2 linked regions of the Struthio camelus genome follow. The protein of the gene in region 2 binds, or shares a complex with, the protein of the main gene of each other region. Links are inferred from orthologs where the notes say so. Each region holds a gene or a part of one and is shown on either strand. Other genes may lie near its edges.

Region 1 (7,596 bases), on a different chromosome or scaffold from region 2:
GTACTCTGACACTGCAGGTTTGCATGGCTGCCCGGATAAACCAGCCTGCAAAGACCTAAAGGGCTGGGAGTGCTTGCAGACCCCAGGGACATGCTGGATAAAGTGCAATTGGAGGGCAGCTTGGGCAGACCCTCTCTCGGGCTTTTTTCCACCTTGTGTTAGAAACCAGTTGTGGAGAAGCGCTGATCAAAGGGAAAGCCAATGGCTGCCAACTGAATGGCAAAATCTTGCTCTTTCCCTGTTCCCTGGGAACCTCTTCTCCTCCTGCATGCCTTTTGCAATGGTTTTGTCCCATCCGGTATCTACATGACCCTCCTCGAAGCTGGTAAAACTGCAGAAAAACTGATAGCATGCCAACCCCCTGCAGCCAGCACCCAGACCAAGATCTGCTCTTAGGGGTCTCTTGTCCCCTAAGGGACCATTGAGAGAGCTGTGTCTATCAGGGCACCGTGCCTTGTTCCTTGGTGGAATTAATTTAGGATTATCCCTGCCTTCACATTTCCCCAGTGGTTTTTCCAGTCTGGCTCTGTGTCCCCTCCTACTTCTGCTTCCCGGCACCCGCTCGGAGCAGAGCCTCGACGCAACTGGCTCCTCTCCTTCAAGCTGATGCAGAGAGCTGAACTCTGTTCCTCCCTGGGGTGCAAGGAATGACAATGCAAAGCACTCGACCAGCTTTCCAACAGAGTGTGATGACTTTTCTTTTTTTTTTTTTAACACTCCGAAAGCACAGTGAAGCCATCCTTTGTCAGAGGTAGGGATGGTGACAGTCAGATGGAAGAGGCCAATTTTGTTTTTGGGTGTCAACAGAGCTGGTGAAGATGTTTCAGTCTCCAACATCTGAGGGACCGGAGGGGGGTGGCGGTGAAGATCAGACCAGAGAAACAAGACGTTTAACGAGGCGGCATTTGGAGAGCTGAGCAAAGCTCTTTCAGCAGCCCTACTTCTTATCGTCATCTCCTCGTGGTATTTAGTATTTAGGGAATTCACTTGTCGGCCTCTGGTGGAGGGTGCTTCTGTGGGATGCCTGCACAGAGGGGTGGGATCGTACTGGCTTGGGGGGGACATGGGGCGAAGTGGGGGGCCTCGGGGGAGTGGAGAGGTGGCATTAGCCCCGCCACCGTGCAGCGACGCAACGCAACGCAACGCAGCACGACTGAACGCGATGCAAAGCAGCGCAAAGCACTGCACGGGGCTCCCACCTCCCACCACCAGCCAAGCCCCCAGCCCTCCAACCTCAGACTTTTTTAGAGATTTATCGCCGTTTCAGGGATTTCCAGAGCTGCCAAAAATCCCGGTCACTGCAGGTGGCGCTGCAATGTAGGTTTTTAGCAGCGCCGGCGCTCGGCGCAAACCCAGTCCCCGGCAAGGACCAGCTGATGGCTTTAACAAGCGTCTCTGCCTTTTAGCAACTGGAATACCAGCTTGGTTTAACAAACTTGTAAAATGGCAGTGCAGGGAGGCGGGGGGGGGGGAACTTCCTAGGGTCGTCCTGTCTTCATTTTTTTAAAATTGGCGTGCACGCTTTGTAACTCGAAGCAGTTGAGTCTTAAAGCGTACGGATGTGCATCCTCAGACAGAAATACATGTTTTCTGCAATCAGAAGCCCTGGGTGCTGTCATGAGTGATCCCTGTATGTGGTTTGGATAACAAGACGTGAAACGAAAGGATGCTTGTGCTGTTAGCTGACCATCACGGATGAAATCTCTGAGAGCCCGAAATGGGCAGCATCTGGGTATTATTTTTATTTAGGGTGTTATTAGCAGTGGGAGGCCAAAGAGGAGATCCTACAGGACGAGGCCCATTACCGTGCCACTCTCGCAGCGCTCGGGCGCCTGCTGCCACCGAAGTTGACGGCAAAACATCCCATTGATGGCGACCGGGTGAGCCGGGGCCCTCCGTGTCCTTGGGCCCTTTTACTGCAGCTATTCGCAGGTCAGGGGAGGTCGTTTGGGTTTTCCAGTCTTAACCCTTCTCCACCCCCGCTGCCGAGTTCATGAAAAGGCCTATAAAAAAAGTCTCATTTGTCACTCTCTCCTTTCTGAACCCAAACAGCGGAGGGATATGTTGACTCATGCCATTGTTTTAAGAAACAGAGAGAATTTGTATTAAATTCTTCCTCCCTGTCGAACAGTGAAAAGTAATCTCAGGGTATCTGGATTGTCCATTTCTTTTAGCAGGATAGCCCTGTTTTAAATGCAGGACCAAAAATTCCCAGAGATTTTCATATGTTTTATTAAATGGAGCTGCAAGCCAGAATGGACATTAAATAATACTGTACCGTTCACAACAGCAGTGATCTTTAGAGGTTACTAACCTGCCATTGTATCTTTCAGATTTCTGTCTCGCTTTTCCGTTGTCATTTTGCTGTGTTATTACTCTTCAGGCTTCGCATAGCGTTCGTTTCTCTGAATGAAAACAAATGACTCCTTGCGAGAGGCAGGAGATAAAGAATAATAAATACATTTTATGCACCACCTTAAAAAAAGGGGCTCCGAATCCCCATCCATCCATCAGGAAATGTAAACCAGAGCTCAGGCAAAACACACACACGCAGGCACATAGGCACGCAGTGCAGAGATAAAACTTGTTTTAAGGAAAACATGATATTGTTTAAAAATAAATGTCTTGGAGGATGCAAATAGACAGCCCCCAGCCCCCGTGTTTGGTTGCATAAATTTAAAATAATTAAAAGTGCAAAGCTCGGATTAATCCTGAATGGTAGAGGCCGCGGTAAGGATGGGAAGCCCTGCTGTGCTCGGGGCTGCACGAGGTGTCTCCTGAGGCAGGTGTCCCTGCCTCTCATCATGGTTGTGGCTCACCATAAGCGGTGGGATGCCCTTCACTATCCATCCTCTGCATCCTTCTTCTTGCCCGGGGAGGGAAGGGGGGATGTTGGCAGGGGGCTGCAGGACCAGACCCAAGGTTTTTCCCTCCTCGCCCTGCTGTAAATGCAGCCAGCATCCTCAGGTGTAGAGGAGGACTCCCCAATCAGTTCCCCTTCACTCCCCCTTGTCCCTGGACGGTTGCAAGATGCCCATCGTCACAGCGTCAGGGCTCTCCTGGCTCCGTGGGGAGGCAGCCCTGTTGCTATGTGCTGCTATCAACACCCTGAGAGCGCCGCTTGCCTTCCTACCATCTGCTGCCTGCTCTGCTCCTGACTCTGTCGACTCGAGGAGAGCTCAGATATTACCTGGAGAGAGGAGTTCAGGTGTCTGCGTGGGGAAACGCGCTCGCTTCGCCCTCCCCAGCTCCCACGGCCATGGGCAGCTCTGCAGGACAGCCTGGCCAGCCACGGTAGGAGCCTACCAGGTGCAAAACTCAGGCAATGATCACTAATAGCTTTTAAAAGATATTATTATTCTTCCGGCTGCCAGGAATTAAATGAAGACTCGGACAGCAGAGCAGCTTGCAATAGCTCTCTAGGATTATTGCTCACCCAGGCTGAGAGACTGATCTTCCTCTGAGCCTCCCAGCCCTCCTGCGCTCGGGCTGATGATCTCCGCACCTCACTTTGTCCTAGATGGAGGAGAGTGGCAGGGCAGGGAGGGAAGGAGGAAGAGGGATGCAGCAGTGGGGAGCCCTGCTGCTGGGAAGAGGTTTTTCTGGGGAGGTGGTCGAGGAGCGAGAGAGATGCGTTTGATTCTTTGAGATATACGGGTTTTTTGTTTTTTAGGGTTTTTTTTTTTTTTTGGCAGCGAAATTTCCCAATTAGCCCAATCAGGCTGGAGATCCTAGGTGTCAGTAGTGAGTAGAGCGAGGGAAGGAGCCCGGAGAAATCAAGGCAGCCGAGTCGGGCTGGCAGCCGTGGGAGAGCAGCGGCGGCGGCGGCCCCGCTCCCCATCCCCATCCCATCCCCATCCCCATCCCCATCCCCTGGCAACTTCGGGACAAGAAAAAAACCGGCTCCGGGTCCCCCCCGCCCCCTTCCCTCCTCCAGCGACAACCCGCGCTCCCTCCGCCTGCTGCCCGCTCCCAGAGGTGGGTGGGCTGGCGAAAGGAGGAGCAACCGGCCACTTTCTCTGCAAAAAAAAAAAAAAAAAAGAACAAAAAGGGATTTTTACTATCATTTTTTTATTATTATTGTTATTATTATTATTACCATCCTGGCGTGCTGGGTGCGGGTTGCCACCGCACTTCCCTACACCTCTCCGGCTTTTTTTTTTTTTTTTTTAGGGGGAGGGGGAAAGGGGGGAAGTGGGGGAAGAGAGAGGGGTGCGTGGATGTGTGTGTGTATGTGTGCAAGAAAGCCTGGGTGTCAAAGCCTGCTCGGCAGCCACCATTTGGAGAGGAGGGCCGGGGAGGAAGGGCTGGCGAGACAGCCGCAGTGCGAGCCCTCGCCGGCGGGCGGGCGGCAGCGCGGCGGCCGCGGAGCCGGGCGCGGAGCCGGGCACGGCCCCGTAGCGCATCCCCTGCCTGCACCCAGCCAGCCAGCGCGGCTGCCTGTCTCCCCCCTTTCCTTGCCGATTTAGAGGCTGGGGGGGGGGGGCTGGGGGAGGGAGGGAGGGGTGATTTGGAGGAGGAGGGTGGGGGGGAGTGAAAACTGGAGCTGCTTTTTTTTTTCCTCCCATCTCTCTTCTTCTCCCCCCCCCCCCCCCCCCCCGCCGCCTTTCTGGGCGATCCAGAAGACGCGGTTTGCCCAGTGCAGAGAGAGGGGCTCCGTGTTCCGCCTCCGTGGAGTATTTGGGATTGGAGAGAGAGAGAGAGAGAGAGAGACACGCACACACACACACACACACACACACACACTCACACACACACAGAGACCATCTGCAGTGTCAATGCGGCGCCTGCTCTGAAGACTGAAGTGGGGGGAAAAAGGAGAGGAAATTTTTAAAAAAATAATAATAATTTAAAAAAAAAAATCCCCAAAGCAAGCGAGGAGCCCTCCCAGGTAAGGAGCCCGGCTGCCCGCCCCGGGCAGCGGGGGGCTTTGCGGGAGGCTGCCCGGGAGGCTGCTCGGCAGGGCCGGCTGGGCTGCGGCGGTGCCTGCCTCGCACCCCGGCAGGACGGGGCTGGGGGGGGGGGGGTCCCTGGGAGGGAGAGCCCGGGGTCCCCCCCCCCGGCCCCTTTTCCCACGGCGGCTCCGCGGGGAAGGGGCCGGTAGGGACCCCCGCGGGGCAGCGGGCTGAGCCGGGCACGGCCCTCCGGCTTTGCCCGGGCTGTTTTGGGACGATGCTGGAAAAGGAAGGGGAGGGGGTTTGCAGAGCGGGGTGGGGGGGGGGGGAACCCCGCTGGCATCGTCCCCTCCAGGACCCCAGAGCCGGTGGCCGGTTCTCCCCGGTCCCCGGTGCCTTTTCCCCCATGCACAAGGCTGAACTTTTCTCCGCGGAGGGAGCGGGACCGACGTTGCAGCTTATCCCCTGCCACCTCCGGCAGCGGCTCTTCCTCCCCCCGGGCGGCGGCGGGCATTTGCCCCCCGGTGCCCCAGGGGCCAGGGGGCTGGAGGTATTTGCAAACTTTTCCTGCTCCCGACCAGGTCTGCGGCTGGACGGGGCTGGAGGCAGAGCCCGTTTGCCAGGGAGGATCAGCGCCTGCCGGGTGACTGCCAGGGAGGGGACAGGGGCCACCCCGGCGGGGACACCTCGAGGAGAAGGGGGCGGGGGGGGGGGCATCCCCGTCTTTTTCACCTTCCCGCAAGGTGCCGAGGAGTTTGGCTGCCCAAAACCCAGGCTGCGGAGTCAGCGCTGCTAAACCTCCCTCCCTCCGTGCATGTGTGCGCTGCAACCGAAACCTGCGTATTGATGCTCTCCGTTTATCAGACATATGCCCCTGAATTATGTAGACAGGGAGAAGCGATCTAAACACCAAGCCGCACATGGTTTTGGTAGAAATATAATACTCCGGCGGCAGATGAGTTCCTCCCAGATAAACAAACCCACTTGCACAGCCCCAGCAGGGCTAAGTGCTGTTTGGGTTTGTAGCGGCTGCATGTGGCTGTTACATACCCAGCCCCGAGGAAACCCTCCTCCTGGGGCCCCATCTGCTCCCCTTTCCGCACAGGGATGAAGCCCTCGCCCGTGCCGGCGTGGGGCAGAGGAAGGGATGAAACCTGCCGCTCTCGCCTGTCCGAAGGGACCGGGCGGAAAGCATGAGAGCCATGCTCCTCATCCATAAAACTTCCACCCGAAAGTCTGCTCCGCTTCGATTTCCAACCTCGCCGCCACCAGGGAACCGTCAGCAGCTGTGAGAAAGGGGCTCGGGCTGGACGCACCTGATTTTTCATGGCTTCCCTCTCCGCCGCCGGGATGTCGTGCGCGGGATGCGACACGCTAGGGAGGATGCGGGAGGACAGGGGCTGTCCGGGTCGCTGGGGCGAGCGGGGTGCGGAGGGACGGTTTGGATCAGCCCCCTGGGGATGCTCTTATTCCTGGGGAACGATAAAGGTTTCAGGAGATTTTGCAGGCAACGCGATCCCTCCCAGCCTTCTAGGGACTTATCTTGAGCGTGCACCAGCCCTGCACAAATATGTTTGAGGGCATAGAGCGTTCTTTTTTTTTTTTTTTTAAATCTGTCCTCGGTTTCACCTGGGTCTTGTTTATAGAAGCTGGTTAAATCCGTGAGCGGGTGGGACCAGCGGAGCATGGGGTCGCTTTGCCTTCTCTGTGATTTTAATTACAGCGTGTGCCTCCCAGCGTGAGATTAGATGCTTCCTTCCCCCAGCTAAGCCACTGTCTTAAGGTCTTGGGGATCAGAGCTGCGTTTTGTTTGCGTTTTTAATTGCCTTGGAAAGTGCTTGCTTGTTTGTTTGTTTGTTTCTGTCTGGGACCCTCCATCAGAGCCGGGCTTCAAGCAGCGCAACAGATGTGTGCCTGCTTTTTGTGCGCAGCCAGGTTTAAACACGCAACCCCAGCCCCATCATGAAAGCCTGGGAATTTCTTCCCTCCTCTGCCCAGACCCATCCTCCGTGGGGGTGTCTCCTTTCCTAAAGGACCAGTGTAAGGCTTTGCCTTTCTGTCCCGTCTTAAATTTGCGGCACTCGGAGAAATCAGTAAGACGCAAAACCAATGACAGATGCATGATCTGAGCGTTGTTGATGTCCAAGATGGGTGTTTTTTAAAATACACGCTGACGATCAATCACGCTGCTGCTCGGAAGCTTTCGCTTGATGATCGTAACTGCCTTGTAGGTGCCGGAGACTGTTGTTAAATCTGTTCAGCCTGCAATCCTGCACCTGGGTAGCAGAGGAATGAGTGCTATAGAAAATCTTAAGACAGACACTGAAGTTTTCCACTGGGAAAGGAAATATTCCAGCCTTTCCTCTTTCTTTCACCTACGAGCCTCTCTGTCTGCATTCGCAGTGTGCCTGCTGCTATGCAGGCTGGAGATGCAGCGAAGCGAAGGGCTCAGCACAGGCACGAGACCTGCGATGATCTGCTGCCGCCGAGGAGGCAGAAGTGGTCTTTGGCAGCCAGATCTCCAGAGGGTGGTGGTTTCGGGGCCCGATTTCACGGTGAGGTCTCTGGGTCTGCAGGGTGAGATGGGGAGGAAGGACTCTGGAGCCCCCTTTTGTGCTGCATCTTTCTCCTTTTAGTGAATCACTTTGTCTCTGTATCCCGATTTGCTTGACTTTGAATGGATGTAATAAAAGCTACCTCC
Region 2 (7,761 bases):
AATAAAATATGATAGTAAACTACAGACAGGAAGAATGTCTGCACTAAAAAGCAAGTCTATACACCACTATATCCCAATAACTATATGTACAGACTGCAATGCTGTGTCTAATACATTCTCTATGACAGCCAAATGGCATTTCTTGCTCTCAGCATGAATTTATAAATGTACAGAATTTTATTGTAGGAAAACCAGGTCAAATGGAAATGAACAAGGAAGTACACATCAAAAATGCATAAAGCTGAACACCTTAACGGGGATTATTTGCCATAAATTAGAAAGGAAGGCGATGATATGTATTCTGCTGTCTGGTCAAAAAACAGATATTGCTAAGCATGTTGCTGGGAATGGTTATCTTATTATTTATTTCCGCTTTGCCTTTGTAAAGCAGGCTATTTGCCTCTGACCAGAACAAAAGGCGTTGCAGCTCAAAGCTCAAAAGCTGTCACTGGTGATCTTTCTAATCCGCCTTACTAGGGCTCGCAGAGAATCCTGCCTTTTCCTCTCTCCGTAAGCACACTCGGAAAGTGATCCTGTCTCATTAAATCCACTCCAGCCCTGCAAACAACATGGCAGAGTCTGGCATCTGTTAAATGCCTGAAATAAAGCAGTGCTGCTTCTAGTCACTTGACAGAGTCACTTCAGTGGACGCTGAGGTGGACTCACTACCACCAGCGCGCCTTAATCTCCGACTTCTGGGAAAGTGACAGTGTAATAAGATAATACGGTCTGCTAGACTCCCTGGCTCTGTGCAATCTCCCTCACACTTGATTAAGAAGAGCAGTTTCTAATGACTTTGGACCATTAGTTCTAAATGAGGTTAATGAATTAATTTAGCAGACACTAGCATGGGCTGTAGGTGAAGGAGGTATTAGCAGGTCTGGTAGGTTACAGAGGAGGTTAACGGCCTGGGTGACTCCAGGAGGGCCACCACATTACCCGCTCAAGGTAGTGGTTCTGCCCAGCGGCCCACCCTTCTACTTTTCTTTTAAGGGGGAGTAAACGATCGAGAAGACCGCAGGGCGCCCCCTCCCATGCTCAGAGGGGTGCAGAGCCAGGAGCAGTGCCGGGCTCTCCGGGGGCCAGGGAGGCGGCTGCCGGCCGCCGCATCTGGGGCTCGGGGCAGCTCGCCCAGCAGCCCCCAGCCCGGCTTGACGCTCGCCTGGTAACGCCTTCGCTCCTGCGCCCCATCACCGGGGGAGGCGGCTCGTCCTTAGCAAATCAAGCAGCTTCCTCAAAATATATTGGGAAAGAGATTAACTTCCATCATAAAACATGCGATTTTAATGCGCTCTCTTCCAAGAGGCTCCACTTGCGGTCTCTTATTAAAACAATATACCAGCGTAAGTGGAGGGTGCTCTCTTCTTTTAATTACTCTGATTTAAAACCCAGTCAGGCAAAAGTAAATATTTGATAATTAGTTAATAATAATTGCTTAGGATTTGTCGGGAAAGGAAAACTCGCACGAGCTGTTTCTGGAACGAGAGCTAAACGTCAAACAGTCCCACAATTAGACCGTCTTTAAAAATGCATCAAGCAGTGAAATATTCCCGGTGCCCTGGCATTGTTCAGGGAAGGAGGAGCGCGTTGCTTTTAATTAATTCTGTTTTCACGGGCTGCCTAATAGTAAACTAGCTAGATCAGTCATTTGTTGGAAGATTTCGCTATTAGAAAGGAGTCTTGAGCCTTCACACAGAGGCTCAGCTTTTCTCTTGGCACTGTGCAAGTTGCACGTAAACTGCACACTTTGGAAAAGGGTACGCTAGGGAGATCTCCGTCTGCAGACTACCCGCAGGTACACACACAGCTAGTAAAAGGCATGATACTCAATCTTGCCCTTTGGAAAAGAAAGGAGGGAGAAAAAGCCTTTTCCTTAAAGTGTTCATTATCTTTCAGATTTCGGAGGCGACACTTATTTAATTGCCTATGGGAGGAAGCATTATCAAGATAATTGACGGTCCTGATCTTGTGAGAACGAGCAGCCTGCTTTGTACAACAGCCCCAAAGAGCGGAAAATAAAGTGAGAAGGCAATGCCAGGGCGGGCGAAACTCAGGCGAGGACCGCGCCGCGTCGGTCCTTTGGCAGAAAGTTCCCCGCAGCCGGGCTCGGGTCGGTGCCGGCCCCATTGTCTGCCGTGCCCCATTGTCTGCCGTGCCCCATTGTCCTCCCTCAGAGCCTCGGAGCCCGAGCGCTGAAACTGCTTGCCTACGCTGAGACCCGACGTCCCCTGTGACACTTACCGCTTCGCAGAGCCCTGGCGAGGGTGAAGGTGAGGGCTGCACAGTGCAGGAGAAGTCTCCAATCCATCTTCCCTTCCGAGCGCAGCGAAAGGAGGTTTAAAAAAAAAAAAAAAAAAAAAAGCCCTCCACACACAACTCTTCCTAGGTCTTAAATCCTCCAGCTGGAGTTGGGAGCAGAAAGCACGGTCCGCAAGGGCAGTCCCCGTGGCCGAGAGCTGCTGGCTTCTCTTTCTGTGCCTCAAGTCGCCCGCATCCTGTCATTTAGCTTCGGCTCCCTCTCCCTTTCCCCACACTTGTTCCTTCTCCAGGCGCCACTGCCCCTACCATTCCCAGGGAGACTAGAAAGCCAAATGAAAACGAGGGAAAAAAAAAACAGAACAAAAAAAAACCCAAACACACAAACAAGACAGACAAAAATCCTTGCGGCTGCCGGCACCTCGGAAGCGCTCTGCCAGGGAGGGGTCCGGGGCACGGGGCGGGGGTGCTCTGCGGAGAGGAGAGAAGCAAGAGAAAGCGGCGGTGAGCGGGGACGAGACGGGCTCAGGAGTTTTGCGAACTGCATCCCGCCCCGCCGGCCCGGCCCGGCCCGGCCCGGCCGAGCTGCCGCTCCCCCGCCCGGTGCCGGCAGCCCGGGGCGGCGGCGGCGCCCGGCGCCCGCACTCACCTGCCCCGGCGGGAGCGAGCGCGCCGCCGCCGCCGCCGCCGCGGGGACTCCGGGCCGGCCGCGAAGGGGGAAGCGCCCGGGCGGCTCCTGCTCGCAGCCTGAGGAAGAGGAGCGCAACTCAGCGGCAATAAGAGAGGCAGAGGAGCCGCCGTCTCCCGAGCCCCAGTCCCCTCCCCCTCCCCGCCCTCCTCCTCTTCCTCCTCCTCCTCAGCCCCCCAAGACATCGGCAGCGCCGGAGGATCAACAAACAAACACAGCGAGCCCCAGCCCCGAAACCCAGCGGCGGATGGGTGGGCTAAGAGGGGCGGTCGGGGGGCGAGGGGCGAGGGCCGGCCTCCCCCGCCAGGCCGGTCCCGCGGGCAGGTAGAGCGGGCGGGCGGCGCCCACCTGCGCCCGGCGAGGCGCGGAGCGGAGCGGAGTGGCCGCCGCGGGTCCTGCGCGCCCGCGCACCGCCGCCGCCGCCCTGCCCTGCCCTCTCTGCCCTGCTCTCCCTGCGCCCCGGCCCGGGCACCCGCCCGGCCCTCCCGGACCCGCTCTTTTCCTCCCCGCTTGCTCCCCAGCAAGTGCATGCGTGCCCCGAGGGGGCACCCGGCCCCACGCCTGTCCCTCCGGAGCCCCGCCGTGGGGCAGCACCGTCCTCTGCCAGCCCAGGGGCTGCCGGCCTCGCTGGCGGGGGCCGAGCCGCGGCCACCCCTTTGCATCCCTGCACCCTCTGCCACCCGCCCCTATTGGCACCCCCTTTCCCCCCACCGTGGCTCTCCTTCCCTGCCTGCCTCCGCTTCCCTCACCGCTTTGCCCCCTCACTCTGCCCATCTCCCCCACCACCTCTGGAAGGGCCCGAGGAGCAGCTGGGCTCCCCCGGCCGCCTCTGCTCCCCAGGGAGGCTGCGCGACCTCAAGTCCTCTCTGAGGAGTGCGTGTCTCCTTCTGAGCAATCCTCACACCGTGCCGGGGACAAAGGGGACACGGCGGGCTTTGAATCCCTCTGGTGCCTTTGGTGGTCTGGTGCTCCCCAGGCGAGGGCCTGTCCTCTCCTTGCCCTGTTGCTCTGCCTTACAGGCTGCCCCTTCGCCCAGGGAGTTATTACCTATTTGAACCTGGCTGCTGCTTTTATGTGGAGTGCTTTGAGCTCCCTCTGTGTCGAGGGGAGCGGCCTCTAATCTGCTCCCTAGAGCAGGGGTTAGAGGAAGAGCTCTGAAGGCTGAAAGTTGAAACACAGTGTTAAATGGTCCCAAAAGATGGGTTTGCGCTAGGAAAATGACCTGTGGCCAGTGGTGGATGTCAGCCACTCTCCTCACCCACAGCAGAACTTGGAACTGCTCCACTTGGAGTCTTTCTGAAGGATCAGAAGGAAAAAAGCCCGGCTTTGGTAGGAGGCAGGGTCATTTTCCTGGGGCAGCTGGAGCAGTAAATCCCTGTCCACTCCAGAGATGTAACTATGTTTGAAATAATTTTCAAACATAGTTGTCAGTTTGCAGCCGCACAGATTAACTACAAATGTGTTACATCTGTGTTCAGAAATCATACACAGATTCGGCCCCCTCCATCCCTTTGTCTCCCGCCTGGAGTCTAAGCCTTCCACCCGCACTCTCCCTCGCTGCCCTTTTGAAGCCTCGACTTTAAGGTCAGCTGAAGTCTGGAGATTAAGTCCATAGGAAATCTGTCTGCCGGTTTCATGCTGTACGCTCTCTCATCCCTACTTTCTGAGTTTTTGCCAGACATTCCCGTTCTCTTCCATGACTGCAGTTCTGTAATATCAGGCACTAAAGCACAGTTTGATCCTCTTATATTCTCTGTGTGCTTCATTCTTTTCTTCTCTTAGTCTCTGCCCCTGCCCATGCCAGGGTCTGCAGGCAGGCCACGGTCCTCAGCTGGGAGCTGGGCAGGCTGGAACTAGTCAGGCTGAGTTATTGGGTTCAGTCTCATTTCCCTGTCTTTAGGCAGTCGCTGGATCATCATATACAATACTTATGCATTTTCTTGATTGATTGGGATGTATATTTTATGGGTAGCACATTAAGCCCCCTTTAATTTTTTTTCTTTTAGTGAAATTCCCAGAACAAGGGGGAAGGGGAGAAGTAACAGTGCTCTCTGCTTGTTAAAACTCTTATGCTGCTGGACAGTCCTTGAGATAAATTGGTACTGTCCTGAAGCACATTCCAGTCTGAGACTGACTGAGGGACAATACTGCTATTTAAATAAAGTATATCTATTTTTGAATTCAGAAATTGCCTACTAATGGTAGCTTATTGGAGGGTTTGAATAAGTGTATACATACATGTTCATGTTAAAAGCTCACTCTCAGAAGCCAAGTTTAATTTTGAAAGTGAAAACTATTAAGCAGAAATTCAATGGGTGTGTATATTAAAAAATTACATTTATCATGTAGAAGTGGTGACTGTCTCGTTTTGGGATTAGCATTGTCCTATCAGATAGGGTCTATGAATCTGAAGAGAGAAAATTACCTGTTCCCAGTTGTATGCTCCAAACAAAAAAAAATTTTTTCCCCATTTGTTTTCCTACCAGATTAGCAAGTTATTTTCTGTAGATTTAGGCACAATATATTGTTAGATAGTATATTTTAAAAGAAATTCTGAAAGAAAAACTAAATACTTAATTTTAGGTTATTTACATTAAATGAAGCTGGTATAATATGCTAAATGGTCAAGTCTAACGACAAAGGTTGCTTTTATCACCTCAACCTACCTTGTAACCACTAATCCATATACCAAGGTTTATTTCAACATGCTCAAGTCTAAAAGATCATTGCTTCCTCCTCTTTCACAGAGATATATGCACGAGGCTGCAAAGACAATTTACCAGGAATAGCCTCTGTTGCGGCGAATGCGGCCCGTGAAGCAGGACTTCTGCCTTTCTTCAGCACAGCGTGGACACTTTGGGTTTGACACCAAGGTTTTTTTTTTCTGTAGGAGCTTTTTTTCCTAAGGCCTAGAAAATATAGCAGAGTCTGCCCTAGAAAATATAGCAGAGTCTGCTATATTAATGTCCTCTCCTATCATAATGTAAATGGTATTAGTCTGTTTTTGCTACCCATCTTTTTCTCTGTGGTTCACAGACATAGGCACATGTTTCTATTCATGTATGAATTGCACTGAAATGAGGAGTGAAGATGTTCTGTCCTTGGTTTACATATATTTATCTGAAAATGTTTAATCTTTAATCATCATGAATATAAACTGGCATCAAATGAAACATTCAGAAGTCTTTTTTTATAATCCACTTCTCACATTTTAGTCACGGTATTATGGGTCCTGATCCTGCAACTGCTTACACATTTGTTCAGCTCTCCATTTTCACATCAGTAATGTGATTTTATGGAAAGGATGAGTTAGTGTTATAAGACTGAATCTGAATCCAGTGTATGTAAAAGTTAATGGAGTGGCTAGCTCTGGGGTTTGGGTTCAGGCCCATCTTTGCTTCGCAATTTGACTTGGTGCTTATAATGCTTTTTTGAAGATTGTCTGCACTTCTATTATAAACTTATTTCTCAAGAAGTTTATAATTCAGCCATAAAAAATATTTGCTGTGGGCTAAATCATGTAATGTAAAACTTAAAATTCCAAAGGAAAAAACAGTTTTCCTATTTTAACAATAGCTGAACAGAGCAAACTGATGTTTACTCCTTTATGCTCTCACATAGCACAGTAATGCATTTAATTCAAAATTAAATTTGGCAAATGGTTAATCCATGGCTGAAGACACCTTTATTTGGCATTTTTTTGAGGAAGAAACACAACAAATTAAACCCATTCATAATATTAAATTTCTGAAAACTGAGACTTTCTACCAGTATTTCCTGGAGAACTAGAAATGTATTTCCTTGACAACTAGTGCCTGCTAATATCTTAATATATAGTCTGGTACTCATTTATGACCTTTGTATTAATGTTTTCTTTTCTTTTGTTTATCTTTCCCGAGAATCTGTCCAAAATTAGGCTTCTGTGTCGTCTCCTCTCCTGTTGCTTTGGCCATGTGAATCACTACTTGGCTTCCTGTTGCTTACTGTACTGAACTGCAGCTATTCCCCCTTATCTTGAAGATCAGACATACATTTTCCCTTGTCTCTATCTGTCCTCTTTCAACCCTTTTATCTCCTACATCTTTTATCCTCCTACTCAGTCTCTCACACCCAATGCTTCTTTACCCCGTCCTCTCACGTTACACCTCTTTTCCACACATAGCCACATGCATCTAAACGATCCTTCCTCTTTTCACTGCACATATTATCCTTCTCCAAAGAACCATTGCAAAAACATGTTTTTCAAAAAACCGAGCCAACTAATTTATACATTATTTAAACATACATATGGCGATACATTGCAAAACACATTTAGATCCTATATTGTATTGCTTAGAGATCAGATTCATTTGCATTTACATCATCTCCACATTAACTACATTGTTAGGATTGTAGGGACTTTACAAATATCTTACCAAACTCCTTGCAATCACAGCCGTGATGTCTCGCAAATGCCTTATCAAAACATGTTCATCATCCTGTCCAAACACATTCCACTCCAACAAATTAGCACAGCCCGAGGCTTTATTAGTTGATTATCTGATTATCAAAAGTCAAATGTTTTCATCTATGTCAAAGGCAAATCATCACACATATCATTCTACTTCCATTCCTATTTTGACAACAAGCTAGTCAGGTCTCTCCTAAGACTAATTCTTGTTTGCTTGCACTGCTACAGCTGCCAAAATCTGAGTGTGGTCAACACCACACGCTTCCAAATCTTCCCCACCCCTTTCTTTTCTCCAGTACTGCTTGCATATTCTCAGTGTTATCTGCTTTTTTTCTAAAATAGGATGTGGGAGACATATACAGGATAA

What was found. The genes of interacting proteins can lie anywhere in the genome.
Region 1: the proteins of NRP1 (region 2) and PLXNA4 are in contact, whole or in part, in a cryo-EM structure (PDB 7M0R), measured with the Mus musculus proteins. The link is inferred for Struthio camelus from reciprocal best matches to the Homo sapiens genes NRP1 and PLXNA4. Residues at the interface, in NP_032763.2 of Mus musculus: Arg80, Tyr84, Asp126, Tyr127, Glu128; in NP_786926.2 of Mus musculus: Glu272, Lys340, Lys343, Lys345, Leu349.

What each region holds. Positions count from the first base shown.
Region 1 is NC_090942.1:3,315,964-3,323,559, forward strand, and holds the start of PLXNA4 (plexin-A4), read left to right. Parts: upstream 1-4,588; 5' UTR 4,589-4,891; intron 4,892-4,909; exon of another isoform or gene 4,910-7,596. UniProt on the Homo sapiens protein: Coreceptor for SEMA3A. Necessary for signaling by class 3 semaphorins and subsequent remodeling of the cytoskeleton. Plays a role in axon guidance in the developing nervous system. Class 3 semaphorins bind to a complex composed of a neuropilin and a plexin.
Region 2 is NC_090943.1:16,657,861-16,665,621, reverse strand, and holds the start of NRP1 (neuropilin-1), read right to left. Parts: upstream 3,077-7,761; 5' UTR 2,906-3,076; intron 2,728-2,905; 5' UTR 2,309-2,727; coding exon 2,242-2,308; intron 1-2,241. UniProt on the Homo sapiens protein: Cell-surface receptor involved in the development of the cardiovascular system, in angiogenesis, in the formation of certain neuronal circuits and in organogenesis outside the nervous system. Mediates the chemorepulsant activity of semaphorins.